2 linked regions of the Alligator mississippiensis genome follow. The protein of the gene in region 2 purifies or fractionates together with the protein of the main gene of each other region. This does not show direct contact. Links are inferred from orthologs where the notes say so. Each region holds a gene or a part of one and is shown on either strand. Other genes may lie near its edges.

Evidence for each region. Proteins that work in one complex are often made in the same cells at the same time.
Region 1: the proteins of PSME1 (region 2) and PSMA4 purify together in Homo sapiens (affinity purification with western blotting; 4 studies listed by BioGRID and IntAct, with this or other methods). This does not show direct contact. The link is inferred for Alligator mississippiensis from reciprocal best matches to the Homo sapiens genes PSME1 and PSMA4.

Annotation. Positions count from the first base shown.
Region 1 is NC_081834.1:30,788,315-30,796,165, forward strand, and holds the start of PSMA4 (proteasome subunit alpha type-4), read right to left. Parts: upstream 3,016-7,851; 5' UTR 2,866-3,015; intron 2,480-2,865; 5' UTR 2,457-2,479; coding exon 2,454-2,456; intron 1,131-2,453; coding exon 1,088-1,130; intron 1-1,087. Other genes in the region: HYKK (hydroxylysine kinase), read right to left, coding at 3,819-4,282, 5,068-5,251. UniProt on the Homo sapiens protein: Component of the 20S core proteasome complex involved in the proteolytic degradation of most intracellular proteins. This complex plays numerous essential roles within the cell by associating with different regulatory particles.
Region 2 is NC_081830.1:7,785,968-7,792,951, reverse strand, and holds the start of PSME1 (proteasome activator complex subunit 1), read right to left. Parts: upstream 3,005-6,984; 5' UTR 2,908-3,004; coding exon 2,869-2,907; intron 2,602-2,868; coding exon 2,569-2,601; intron 1,993-2,568; coding exon 1,930-1,992; intron 1,347-1,929; coding exon 1,257-1,346; intron 1,121-1,256; coding exon 1,066-1,120; intron 711-1,065; coding exon 613-710; intron 1-612. Other genes in the region: FITM1 (fat storage-inducing transmembrane protein 1), read right to left, coding at 4,231-4,834, 5,344-5,576; DCAF11 (DDB1- and CUL4-associated factor 11), read right to left, coding at 6,539-6,667, 6,808-6,914. UniProt on the Homo sapiens protein: Implicated in immunoproteasome assembly and required for efficient antigen processing. The PA28 activator complex enhances the generation of class I binding peptides by altering the cleavage pattern of the proteasome.

The DNA of each region.
Region 1 (7,851 bases), on a different chromosome or scaffold from region 2:
TGATCACCCCATCCTAGGAACAAGTCCTATGGCTGCTACTGGTAGCTGAAGGTAAGGTGGATTAGTGCCTTATAGACTAACTAAATCAGAGAAAGCACATGCTTTAAAAAGCAGCATCTGACAAAATAAGCTGGTATGAAGAGCTGAAGGAAGCAGAGCTTCCAAACAGAAAACAGTGACTAGAAAACAAGGGGTACAATTAAACTGTCAAGAACGGATAAACTCACACTAAGAGAGCCACTTGGCCTTTACTCAGTCCATAACTACTACCAGGCTTCAATGCCTAGTTTATTTTACATTAGGCCTCTCCCACTCTAATAAACAAGCCCTAAAAAGCAGCAATTACTACACTATGTAGTAGGGGTGCACCAATAAAAACTTTTTTGGCCGATACCATATTGGCCAATACTGATCCAATTGCTGATATGTAGTCCAGTAGCTTAGAGAGCAGCATCTGGCCGGTAAGTCTACTGGAGGGAAGAGGCATGGGGGAGGGAAGGAGTGTGGCAGCTTGAGGCCCCCACAGTGAGGGAGAGAATGGGACCAGGGCAGGCATTGGCCAGCTAGGGCAGGGTGGGGTGGGAGATTGTGCTGCAGGCAGCTCATCCAGGGGGCAAAGGGGGCTCCCCACCTTTGTGCACACCCCTGGGGGAATGCCACAAAGGGACACGTGTCCCCCAGATTTGAGCATGGGGCGAGGACAGGCTGTCCGCTGCAGGCTTGGGGCTGGGGCCTGCACCAACCTGTTCCTGATGGGGGTACTGGGCCGGGGCTGTGCTCGGGGTGGGCAGCGCTGGGAGGGGGGCTACAGCCACGCTAAAATTCACCATAGCCCCCCCCCCCCCCATAATAAAGCAAAGGATCTTTAATGCCTCTGTTCTTAAATCAAAAAATTGAAAGTAGTGCTCCACTTTGACCACACAGTTTTGGGTGTTATTCCTAATGTGAAAACCAGATTTAAGTAATATTTGACATATCAGACAAAGTGTAAACATCCAACATGACAGCTTTTCACAAGTTTAGCTGCTATTTAATTTTCAGAAAAAGCTGAAGGGTCCAGTGATTCATTCCCATTCACAAAAAATACCTTCTGGAGAAAATATAGTAGTTCTGGAATCATATCTTCGAGACTGTTTAAAGAAAAAAACAAAGCAAAAACAACTTACTTTTTCTGTTCTATTGCCACAAGAAGAAATTTTATACTAGTCATCTTTTCAATCACATGTAGAAGCCATCCAGTGACCCCACTCTCTTATTTACAAGAGACAGCAAGCAGCACAGCAGGCAATTTTGTTGCCATTAGAACCTTTCATTGGTGGTCAAGGAGCAAGTATTTAATGCAGGGGTGGACAACTATTTCAGGCAGAGGGCCGCTTAATGAGCTTTGGTGAGCTGTTGAGGACCACATGGATAGCCCTGGCCCCTGACAGTTGCCCTGCCCCCTGATCGCCACCTTGGGACCAGAAGTCCCACCCCCTAACCCTTGTCACTGGAAGTCCCTCCCATTGCTCCCCCACCCCCCATACTCCTTTTGGGAGGGGGTTGCCACCTTAGAACCAGAAAAAAAACCAAAGCATACACTAAAAGTCCAACACCTACTATAACATATTTTAATTTCATTACAAAAAATATTTTGGTTATGATTTGTTTGCATACTGTATATAGAGGTGACCGCACATATTTGTAGTCTTGTATATTGTGGGGGGGTGGTTGGGGATGTGCGTGTGCGGTAGGGGGGTTGTGACTGTGTGGGGGGCAATAGGGTACGTTGGGGGGTTGTGTATATGTGGACAGTTGTGGGGGCAGGGTGTGGGTGTGTGGCATTTGTGAAGTGCGAGGGAAGGTGGGGAGATATGGGACCCCCCCCCACGCTTCCTTTAGGGTGTGGCAGCAGCAGGCGGGGGCACTCATGCCGTCAGGGCGCAGCCTCCACTGGGCAGTCTCTATCCCCGGCACTCCCTGCCGCGCACATGCAGCCCCTGCACTCATACGGCATGGGAGGGAAGCCCCATGGGCCCAGCCCTAATGTCCATGAGGGTGGGAGCAAGGCACAATAGGATATGTTGTTTTTTTTGGGGGGGGGCAGGTATACACATGGGCACCTCACTCACATCCTCATAGGCGGAAGGGCTAGGCAGTGCACAACTTGTGGGTGGGCGCTGTGGGCTAAATGAAAGTGCTGGGCAGCCACAGGCTGTATTTTACTCGCCCCTAATTGAATGCATATTTACCTCAATACACTTTTCCCTTACTCCTGGTCTTTCTTGTGAAGTTTGAGCCCAACCCTGCAATATTTCTGTGCACGTTTTTCCAGATAAACTTAAACGTTACTACTGGCAAGAGCGGAGCCTCCATTTCCCACTGATTATCTGTTATCTGATTTAGCTGTTGAAGAGTTTAACCAATTAAGTGAACAAGGGACTAAAGAGCTGAGCCGTCAGGTATTAACTCACCATGTTGCTGGGAAGTTTACGTTAGGCTGCAAATGAAAATGAAAGTTGTCAGGTGACAACAAGATACCCAGGGCACGCCGAGGACGCTGGAGGCATTTATTTAACCAGGACGCTTGCACTACAGCACGGGTCCCCAAACCGGGTGACATCCCGCCGTAAAAGCGAGGCACCCACCCCCTCCCGCCCCCGCCCCCAGCAGGGCAGCAGCACGGGCCCCGGGGGCTCCCGCCGGCCCTGGGCCGCGCCGAGTCGAGCCCGGCTCCTCGAGGCGGCAGTGCACAGTCATCCCCCACCCCCCGCGCTAAGCCCGGGGCAGCCCCGCAGCCCCCGCCGAGCCTGGACACCCGCCCCCCTCGGGGGCCCGGACCCCACCCCGCCCCGCCCCCACCCCGCGGGCGCCGCCAGCACTCACCGCGGGGCTCCAGGGGCTGCGGGGGACCGGTCAGCCGACAGCACTCCACACCGGCTTCAGCCAAAGATGGCCGCCGCGCATGCGCGCTGGCTCTGCCCGGCCGGAACCGAAGAGGCGGGACCTGGATGTGACGTTGAGCCCCGCCCGGCCGCGGGCCGCAGGTAGAATCGCGCTCACAGCACCCCCCCGGCCGCGGCTGCCTCGGCCCAGCTTCCCGCCCCGACGCGGTCAACGCCTGGGAGCGTCTGTGCGCCCCGGCCTGCTCGGCTCGAGAGCGCAGGGTGGACGGCTACAGACATACTGTGAGCATAGGACCCCCTGGGGCTATTACACATTAGGAAACCCCCTAGGGGCTCCGGGTCCAAAATAGAGGACACGGGGTTGGGGGGGGGCAGTGACATGCCAGTGCCCTGCCCCTGCCCCTCACTCCCAAACCGCAGCCCCCTGCCCCCACCCCTTGCTGGTACCCCTCTCCTGACCCACAGCCCCTGGCACTGCCAGTGCCCTGCACATCCAACCCACAGTGACCCATCCCCCTCCCAGCCCTGCTGGTACCCCTCACTCTTGACCCGCAGACCCCTGCCCCCCCAGCCCTGCTGCCCAAGCAGCTCCTGTGTTGCATGCACACCGGCTCTCTCACACACCTCTTTCTCACTCTCTCTGGTTGCTGGAGCCCGCACTGGGAGTATGTGATCCCCAGCAGCCACTGGCACTGCCCACTGCTCCCAACCCCAAACAGCCACCCCAGGAGAGCAGAAAACCCTGACATTTGCTCTTAATTTAAAAACCCACCTGGATGCAGCATAGGGGTCCAAAAAAAAAGACATGTTCAGGAAAACCCGGATGTATAGCTTCTGTCATAACCTACGTTTAATAACTGCAGCCCAGTCCCAGCACTGCAAGTTGCAGGTTTCCTTACATCCCTGTGTATCTCCTCAGTGGAAATATGCAAGCTAGGCCTGGGCAGCACTGGCATAGGCATCTGCAGTTTCAAACCAGATCTTCTCAACCACTTCTTGGCCCACCTCAAACAGTTGGACTAAGTGCTTCCATCCCACTCGGGCTGTGATCATCAAGTATTCCTGATTTTCAGGATATAACTGCAAAGTGTGAGCCGCTACTACCAGCGATTGAGAGAACCTACCGCTCACCAAAAGGAAGAGGGCACCTCTCTCCTCTGGCGTCAATGGCACGATGCTTTCAAACCCTGCAAGCACATGTCCTCCAACGCTGAGAGGATCTTTGCTCTCAATCATCATGTACATGATTGCTATGGCTACTTCAAATACATAGTAACCGTAGCTCATATCACTAAAATCCAGAATGCCAGTCACTCTGTACTGTGCCCTCTCAGAGGAAGATGCAGGGTTGCAGTCCACCAAGATGTTATGGTCATTAAGGTCCCCATGATTGATACCTGAATGCAAAAAGGAGAGAGAACGTATTATGTACAAACAAGAAAAAGAAAAGTAGTAAACAAAGAGTGGAAACTTTGCCCATTCTCTTGAGAAAACTAAATTGAAAACACGTACATATGAAGAGGGAATGAAGTTAACACTCCCAGATTAACTGCATGCCTATTCTGGTCTGCCTCAACAGAACCGAATCCTGACAATATTGCTATAACTCTCATGCTTTCCTGGTTCTTTATAAGAACCTGTTTCATTATCATATATAAGCACATTAGATAAGTGGCATTTGGATGTTTATGATTTATTACTTAGCTTTTATAGCACCTAAAATGTGCCACCTGCTATCCAGACACAAAGATTCATGCACAAGGTCATGAAGCCTTTCACTGCTGGATTACCATTGTCACTAATTTAGGTTATTTTGAGAGACATTGCTCTTTGACAACTGTCAGCGGCCAATATGAAATGAGTAAGAAGCCTTCATCTAGTTCTACTAAACTCTTGTTATATTATGAAAATCTCCACAGTAATTGGCACCCTTGCTGGGAATCTCAGCAAACAGGCTAAAACTAAACTCCCTTTTAACTCATGAAAATAATTCATTCCTCCCAGGCCTGGTTTGGGTCTTGTTCACCGAGCATTGCGAGCAGCTTGTATATGTTCAGGAGTACAATAAACAATTTCCTATAGTGCCCTGTATTTGGCTCTTTTTATAAGCACGCAAATTCTCTTGGAATCATTTCTTACATTCAGGAAGTCTTACAGCAAAACTGTGTTAGAAACTACTCACAGGCTCGAAAATTGCTTAGGTTGGGTAAGATTTTCTCTTTAAACTGTTGAATTACTTGGCTCACAACTTCACAGTATTCGCTCTGGCCCAGGGCATGAATATACTGATCCAAAAGAGGAACATTTGCCAAGTTCCAAATGAACTTCCCTCGATGAAGACTTTTTACTGATGGATGATGGAATTTCTTCAGGAAATCATAAAATAGAAAAAAGGATATAAACGATAGTTTCGTTATTGCATACAAAGGCAACAGAAAGTCTTTAATGGACTTTAACTGGATTTAGATCACATTTATAGAGCAGCATTATGGCTTTGATGACCATTGCCACCAGTGTCCTCCCGCAAGATGACCTTATCATCCACTGCCACCTTTGGGTGAGGCTTCTGTAAATCTTTCAGTAATGGAGATTATCCTAAATTATTCATTAAAATAGTGCCTATGATAAAATCTTACACACATGCGGCTGCTTTCAACCTCAGAAATCCCATGGTCTCTCACAAATTCTATACTGTGTATAGAGTCAAAGCACTCCTCATTAAACTCAAAGCATCCTTCAGAAAATGCTAACTCTTAGCTTTCATTTGTTTCTGGACTATGAAATAGCAGAAACGCTCTATTGCAAAGGACTCAGAAAGACCATGAAAGGTCAGAGTGTTCTTGACACTATGGATTCCCATCTGATAGCTCTGGGTTTATCTTATGAATCATGTGCAAGTGTCTGCACACCTAACTGTTAATACTGCGTGGCACTCTTAAAAGAATCTCAAGGTGTCACTTTCTATACCATCCAATAATACTTTATTGGCACAACTAGCTGAACAAATGTTGCTCAAATAAAAAAGAGAGAATGTTCAGGTACATTAGGAGAGAACACACAGCTGTGCAAGAGCAAATGCTAGAACAAAGCTTTACTTTTCTAAAAAAAAGTGTCATGAGATCAGGAATGCCCACCCAACAGAGGCAGGTGTCACCCAGAAGACCTGCACACAATTATATTATGTGACTCATTTACCGGAAAAGGAGAAACAGCCAAGTCAGCCATACTCTAGCAGATCTAGGGAGTCTAGGTATTTCAGATTTATTGGTAATCCATAAACTACTAAATTATTTTCTTAATCCAAAAAGTAATATTTTTTTTAAGCTGTGCAAAGGCAGAGGGGCAGACAAGCATCTATTTGTATTTATGCCCTTATATTGGAATTCTCTCTCTGCATTGGTTAAGATGTCTTTAAGGCCAGATTCTGCCAGATGTATAAAATATCAGAGAACATCGGCCCAGATTTTGCTGTAGAATGAAATATCAGTTTAAAACTAGAGCTCTTGGTTTTAATAAAAGCCACTAGATATGCATGAAAATCACAGATACAAAGACCAGGATACTGCCTCAAAACTACAATGTGATTACAGCACCTCCAATGCAATAAAAAGAACACCACTTGTAGAACAATGCCACCTGCTGACAAAATACTACAATCTTCACATAGTGCCACACACAGTATCACAAGGTCAGTGTATGCATTAGAAGGCTACTCTTAATGTGAACTGAACTTTATATTAAAGTACCAGACCTTCCCAGTAGTCTGCCTGTCACTGTTTATCATTTTGTGACAACACATTCCTATTGTTTTTTGTAAATATATACATTGTAAATGTAAATTGTATATTGTAAATATATATATTGTAAATGTTTTTCCTCTCCTTTGTTCCCAGGTGAGACATATGCAGACTAACTGGGAAAAGAATAAAGTCAACTGTTCACAAAATGGCATCAATTGCATAAAGAAAATAAACTGGGAAAAAAGAGAATGTGTACCATTATCTCTGCTTTACAGACAGGGAGCTGGAGCCATGAGCATATATTTAACTTTTTCAAAGTCACACAGGATATCTGAACCCAGCCCTCCCAAGTCCCTACCTAATGTACCATCCTTCCTACCTGACAGTATTATTCAATCCATTGCATTTGTTCAGTCATATAGGTATGACTCTCACCAAAGACCTTACCCAAAACAATTTCCTGTGCATGGGTACCTGCTACTTTTCATGTTAATAATAAGTGAAAATGATCTTCAAGCTGCAACTGTACCAGCCAGCTGCTGCTAAACTGCTGAAGGGTGGCTATGAACTGCCAAGTTTGGATTCAGATCCAAACTCCCATAAATACCAGGGTTATTCACAGTAGAAATTTTGATTTAATCCCATCTAAAGAAAAACCCAGCACAGCTGCCAGGGAGGCATTGGGTTTGAAACACGCATTTAAGATTTCTGGCCCTTAATCCTGTAATAAGCTTTGTTGACCAGCATACAAATTATTAAATACACAATATGAAAAGGCTTTTTTAAAAAAACAGTAGGAATCATTTTTGTTCTTATTGCTAGTAATGGTTATAGTTTACAGGTCTTCAAAGAAGGTCAAGGGAATTCAGATGAGATCACTAGCTGAACAGTTCATTGCTGAAGAAACACAGGCTCCATCATGCTACTGCATGGCCAGATTTGTATTGTGACCCACCTCCCCAGGCCCACAACCAAAGGGAGTCTGCTGACAACTATAATTTTTTGTCATTAGGTGATTATTATTATTATTTAGATTTATGTCCTGCCCAATCCAGAAAGGCTCAGAGCAGTTTACAATAACAGACAGACAACTCACAAGGTAACACAAGCAAACATCTCAATCAGCACTCTAGAACTGTACAACTCCTCAGCACCCCACTTACTCCTCTGCGTCCTCCACCTATTACGCTGCTGGAGAGCAATCCTCCAGCCTAGCCAAACTCTGC
Region 2 (6,984 bases):
TGCAGTTGTGTAGTGGTGTGTAGCATTGTGTGGTTCTGTAGCGGTGTGTAAAGTTGTGTAATAGCCTCCAGTTGTGGAATGGTGTGCAGTGTGCAGCTGTGTTGTGGTGTACAGTGTTGTGTGGCTGCTGTGTTGTGCACCACTCATCAGCCCCAGCTCCTCCCTAGAGTGCTGCATGACAGCATGGCATATGGCTATGGTGTTGTGCAGCAGTGTGAGGTCATGGTGTGCAGTGGAGCATGGCTGCGTAGTGGTGTAGCATAGCAGTGCGGTATTGTGTGGTCGCATAACTGTACAGTGTGACCTACCACTCCCAGCTCTTCCCTGGCGCCCTGCCCTGGGGTGCATAGCTCTATGGTTGTGTAGCAGTGTGCAGTTGTGTTGCATGATTGTGTAGTGGTGTTCAGCCATGTGGTGACATAGTTGCGGTGGTCTTTAGTGGCAGTGTGGTGTGACGTGCATACAGCCATATGATAATGGCGTATGGCTGTGTGGTCTCATGTGGTGGTGGAGTTGCATGTCCAGCCCCAGCCCCCCACCCCGGGCACAGCAGTGGCGGTGCAGGTTGCAGTTATGCGGTGCAAGGGTTTGCATCACTGCCGTGTCACTCACCAGCCCCAGCTCCTCCTTGGCACGCTGCAACCGGGGGGTGACGCGCTGCACCAGGCCCAGCACCACGGCGTTGCTGCTCACTGGGCCGCACGGAGGCCCTGCCGGCACTGGGGTTATACCTGCTCTGTGGCCTCCCAGCCCCTCCAACACCACCCTGAGACCCCCATGCCCCCCCAGTGCCCCCCCCACCCCCCCAGCACCCACCCTGGGGTCCCCGTGACCACCCGGCCCTCCCCACACCACCCAGTGCCTGACACCCCCCAGCCCCTGTGGACCCTCTATATGCCCCCAGCCCCATAATGCCCCAACCAGGCCCTCCCACCTTTCAACAACCACCAGCCCCTTCCGACCCACGCAATTCCTACCCCCAGCCCCCCACAGCCTTCCAACCCCCCATGACCCCTTCACATTTTCCACAACCCCCATCCCCCTGATGGCCCCCCACAGCCCCACCTTTGTCATCATCGTCCTTCTTGTCATCCCCCTTCTCCTTCTCCTTCTTCTCCTTCTGTGGGGGGGGGAGATAAGAGACCCTCTCAGACCCTTGGGTTCTCCCTGCAGCCGCCACACAGCCTGGACCCCCCACCCCAGATATCCCTGTGTGCTGGGCAACGCACACCTCCCCAGCTCCCCCCAGCCCTCACCTGGCGCTGGGCGTCCCGTTCGGGGTCGGGCAGGGGGATGTCCAGCTCAGCCCGCAGTGCTCCAGGGTCTACAAGGTTTAGCACGGGGTCCTGGTGTCGGGTGGAGAGATCAGTGGGTGCCCTGAACCCTGACTCCACAGAGACCCCTTGCCCGATCCCCCCAGCTCAGCTCCTCCCTCCCTCAACTCCCAGATACCCCCAGCACCCCCCATGCCCCTCCCAGCCCCCACTCCCTCCTGCCACCAGACACAAGCCCCAACTCTCTACAGACACCCCAACCCCCCTCCCTGACCCCCCACACCTCCCAGCCCCCACTCAATCCCCAACACCCCTTGGCTCCCCAAAGCCTTCTTTAGTGCCCCCACACCCCTCCCTCCAGCCCCAGTCTCTTCAGGTCCCCTACACCTTCCCCCTGACTGCAACCCCCTCAGCACACTCCACAATCCTCAGCCCCCTCAAATACCTCAGGCCCCCCCCCTCCACCCCCTCAATCCCAACCCATCTCTTGTTCCCCCCACCACCATCCCATGCCCTGGGCCCCCCAGCAGGACCTGGACCCTCCAAATCCTCCAGGCCTGCAGTCTCTCCCTATTCCCTTAGCACACCCACCCTGCCCAGATGCCCCCGAGCCCCCCATTTCTAGCCTCCCCCATGTCCTGCGCCCCCAATCCACCTTGAGGAGAGCGTCCAACTCTGCGATCTGCTCTGGGAACCGACTCCCCACCATCTGCTCAGTCTGGGGTGGGGGAACAGGACGGAGCACCTGAGAACAGCTCGCAGCCTTTGCCCCAGCCCACCCATCCCGAGGGCACTGCTGAGGGAAGCTCGCAGGCCTTCCCCCCCCCCTTCCCCGAGGGCACTGCTAGAGGAAGCTCACAACCCCTGCCCCCACCCCCCTAAGGACGCTGTTGGAGGAAGCCTGCAGTCCCTACTGCCCCCCCCCCGAGGGCACTGCTGAGGGAAGCTCGCAGGCCCTCACCCCCCTGCTCCCCGAGGGCATTGCTGGGGGAAGCTCACAGCCCCTGCCCCCCCCATCCCGAGGGCACTGCTGGGGGAAGCTCACAGCCTCTGCCCCTCCACCCTGTGGGCACTGCCAGAGGAAGCTCACAGCCCCTGCCCACCCCCCGCGTCCTGAGGATACCATTGGGGGAAGCTCACAGCCACTGCTGCCCCGCCACACCCTGAGGGCACTGCTGGGGGAAGCTCACATCCCCTGCCCCACCATCCCAAGGGCAGTGTTGGGAGAAGCTTGCAGCCCCTGCCCCTCCCCCAGCCCCAAGGGCACTGCTAGGGGAAGCTCGCAGCATCTCACCTCAGCACACAGCTGGCTGCGGAAGGCATCCACCTGGGTAGAGCACAATGGGGGGGGGTCACCAGGGCCCCCCCAAAACTCCCCCCAGCCCAGCCTGTGCTGCCTTCGCCAGCAACAGCCCCTCCATCTCCAGCGGGGGGTCTGGGGGGCTCCCAGCCACTTCCCTCCCACCCCATCCCCACCACACCGCTGGGGGCCCACAGGCCCAGCCAGGCCCCAAATACCCTGGCTAGGCCTCAGCTACTCCAGCCAGGCCTCAGCCCGGCTAGGCCCCTGCCCTCCCCACCCGCCCCCCCTCACCTGGGCCTGGCTGGCGGGGGGCAGGCGGAGGGCGGCCATGGCCGGGGGGCACCGGGGGGGTGTGGGGCCAGTCCAGGCACAGGCGCGTGGTACCGCAGCAGTGAGCGTGACAAGTGAAATCGAAAGCAGCAGGCCGGGGATTTCCGGTCTTGGACGGCAGCCAAAGGCTGCAAACTTCCTTCAGCAGTGCCCTCAGGATGGGGTGGGGGGAGAGGGGGGGACTGTGAGCTTCCCCCAGCAGTGCTGGCAGTGGTGGTGGGGGAGGAGGGGTGGCAGGACTGCAAACTTTCCCCACCAGTGCCCTCAGGGTGGGGCGAGACAAGGGCTGTGAGCTTTCCCCAGCAGTGACCTCAGTGGGGGTGGGGGTTTCAGACTGGTCTCTGATGCCTGGGTTTTCTGCCTCTCCCCCTCCCAGAGCCCTGGGCCCCCTCTCCCATTGGTTCCCCCCCACCAGAAGCCCCTCCACTTCCCCCAGGCACCTGGGTGCCCCCCCGGCCCCACTTCAAACACCAGGCAGGCAACGCCAGACTCAGAGGCCACCTTTATTCGTGCCCCAGCACCTCAGTTCTCAGCCTGGGCGTCTGCTTGGGCACCTGGGGCTACACCCCACATCGCTGCTGGGGCAGACGGGGACCCTGCCCTTCTCCAGCTGGTGTCCCTGGCTCTCCTGAACGAGCCGGTTCCCATCCCACATCCAAAGGTGGGAACAAGCTGCACGCATGACAAAAGTAGTCTGGCGTCAATTGACCGGTGGTCTCCCAGACGCTTGGGTCCCTTCTCCACGCCTGTTGGCCCCAGAAGGTGCCGAGGACACATGGACCCCTCAGTCGTCTCCTAGCGATGGCCAGGGGCAGGCTGTCCCAGATGCCGCGGTTCCTCAGCCCAGACAAGTCCACACTCCAGGGCAGGGGGAGACGCCCCTGCACAAGACTCTCCAGCTGATTTCCCCTCTCCTGGATGCCTGGGTTCCTGACTGAGCTTAGGATGAGTCCATTGCCCATTGCTGTGCAGAGCTTCTCCAGGTGTTCACCAGGCCTGGCCCACCCCAGATGCCTGGGTTCCCACCTTCTCCAGATGTTCTCCAGAGGTGGCCTCCTCCCAGATGTTTGCATTTCCACACATTGCCCAGAGATGGCCCCACCCTCTCCTCCTCCCGAAAACCCAGATTCTCACCTCCCACCTTCTCCCAGACACCAAGGTTGGCATCACCCATCTTCTTCTCCAGCTGTTCTCTAGACACTGAGATTTCCCACCCCCTCCCATCTCTGCATGTACCGCAGAGGCCACCCCATGCACTCTTTCTACTGGATATCCAGGTCCCCCGCACCCCACCCCCCTCCCCACCCCACATGCCAGGATCCCTCAGGCGCACTCGGCGGCCAGGGGGAAGAGGCCAGTGCCAGGGCGGCCAGGGGACCAGCGGCAGCGGTACCAGCCACGGTACGCCAGGGCCCAGCAGAGGGTGGCAGTGGCAGTACCAGCAGCATGGGGGGCATAGGGCGGCTGCCACAGCAGCGTGGCCACCAGCAGGGCTGGCCACAGTAGCAGCAGTGCCACATTGAATAGGAAGAGGGCATGGAGCGCGGCCCCCGCCCGCAGCCCCCGAGCCAGGCAGCGCCCAAACACGCCTGCCTCCTCCAGCACCAGCAGTGGGCAGAAGGTGAGCAGGAAGGCAGGCGCCGAGGGGGCAAAGCCAGTCCAGCGGTGCCCGCCTGCGCTGCAGGCTGCCTTGGAGGGCAGCGCGTTCACCAACCGCCCACCAGGCACCGGGTCATAGCAGTGGCCCGTCAGGTCCTCGGCCAGGGCAAAGGCAGCGCGGGCGCCCACCCAGAACCCTGCGCCCACAGCCAGTCGGCACAGTGGGCGCAGCGCTGCACCCACCCGTCCTGCTGCGCCTACTGCCAGCGGCAGCAGCAGCCCCGCCACCAGCAGGCTGGTCCAGCCCCAGGCCGACGCTACCAGTTTCCTGTGGACAGGAGGAGGCAGAGGTGAGGGGGGCACCTAGGCTCTGTCACCCACCCCTGCTCCAGCGCCCTCCTGCACTCATCTCCCTCTACCCCCAAATGCCCCATGCCCTGGACCTGTCCACACAACCCCATCCCCGTCCATCCCTGTTCCCCCACCCCTTGAGATCTCAAAGCCCCCCCAGACCTCAAGCCCAGTCCCCAACACCCTACAGATCCTGCCCCCAGTAGCTCCTGCCCTCCCACTCACTCTGCCCTGAGCCCCAACCCCAAGTCCCACCTCAGATGTCCCCTCACGCAGTTCCCTCCCCTCCCTTCCCAGATACAGACTGCCGTCCCTCCCATGACCCTCAGAGCCCCCAGTTCCCCCCTATCCACCCAACCCAGCACCCAAACTCCACCCACCCCCATGAACCCCCACCGAGGATCCTCCCTTGCCATCTCAAGACCTCTAAAGCCCACTCCCCCCCTCCCTGCTCCCAGCCCAGAAGCCCCCTGCCAGGGGACTCACACATGGAAGAAGTTGCGGGGGTTGGCGAAGACGGCATGGGGGCTAACGTACAGCCGCAGCAGGGGCGACAGCAGCACCAGCAGCGCGAGCCCGGCATGATAGGCCCGGCGTGTTCCCGGCAGCACCAGCACCCAGGCGGCCTGCTCCCCAGCCAGCTGCACCAGCCCTGCACCCAGGCCCCCTGCCAGCCCCAGTGCCCGCCGCGCCAGCCCCCACAGCTCCCAGGCCCCCATGGCACCACACTGACGGGCACAGCCTGGCCTGGCCCAAGACAGCTGCGGGGCCTGGCCTAAAAGTGACAGGTGGCAGCTGCTGGCTGATCCCAGGGGCCTGTGAGGGGGTGCAGACAAGAAGGCTGGAGGGGGGCAAAGGGAATCTGGGGGGGTAAGTAGAGAGTATTATCCCCTGCAGACTGGGTCGGGGGAAGAGGGGCTTCCCCCCCAAATCAAGGGGCACAGAGACACGTCTAGAGAGGTTTATTCTCAACATAGACAGCAGGTGACACAGACAGCCCCCGTGCAGCACAGGGCAGAAGGGGGGGCACAGAGCCCCTCCAAGTCCCCCATGCCTGGCCCTTCCATGCACGGGGGACCCGCATGGGACTGAGAATATGGGAGACACCCCCACACACTTCCCAGCCTTTAAAAAACAAGGGGGCATCCCCCCACTAGCAGAGAATATACAGCCCCACTTCTCCATGGAGGGGGGGAAAACAGAAGCCCCCCCCCCAAAATACCAGCCCCCCAAATCAGAGAGGCAAGGCAAAGCCAGGGACTCACAAAAGACCCACCCGAACCCAGAGACCACCCCTCCCCCACAGCGGGGGGGGGGGGAACAGCTGACGGGAGTTCAGGATGTGGGAGGGGAGGGGAGGTCAAGGACGGGCAGAGGAGAGGACCTAGATCTGGCTCCCCTCCGCCTGCCCGGAGCCAGCCAGCGCCCTCCCCCCTCTGTCAGAACTAGCACTGTCAGGAGGGCAAAGCCCCCTGCCCCACTCCTAAGCCAGCATCCCCGCCACGGGCAGGGAGCCCTCACCTGCCAGCCCCGCACCACCCGCCTCTGCCCAGGAACAGCAAGGCCCTGGCTCCACAAAGGGGGAAGCCCCACCCAAGGGTCCCTGTCCCTAGTGAGGAGGGGGGGGGCTGGATTGCATCGCCAATCTCTCCTGTGGGGGGGGGGCCACGATTGAGGTGCACTATTGGCTGGAGGAGCGGGGCGTGGCCCGGGAGGGCTTGGGGGCCACGGGGGGGCTCCCCGGGTCCCTGAGGTCATCCTCGTAGTACTCAGCCTGGCGGTGCTCCCAGACACGCAGGCTCCCGTCCCACTGCAGGAAGAAGGGGTGGGGGGAATTAGAGCACCCCCTGCTGGACGCAACTGGAGAATGCCTCCCCCCTCTTCAGCATTGCCAGGCCATAGATCTGCACCCCACCCCTCCTCCCCCCTGCTGGATCCTGACCCACTCACCGAGCTGCTCACAATCTTCTCCTCATAGGGGTGCCAGCTGACGTCCCGCACGCAGGCCTTGTGATTGGTCAGCTTCTTGATGATGCGCCCTGTCAGGAGGCTGTAAACTGGGGGGGACCGCGTTGGAATAAATGATTACTTTCCCCCCCCGTTAGCTGTGCAGAATGGTATTTCCCA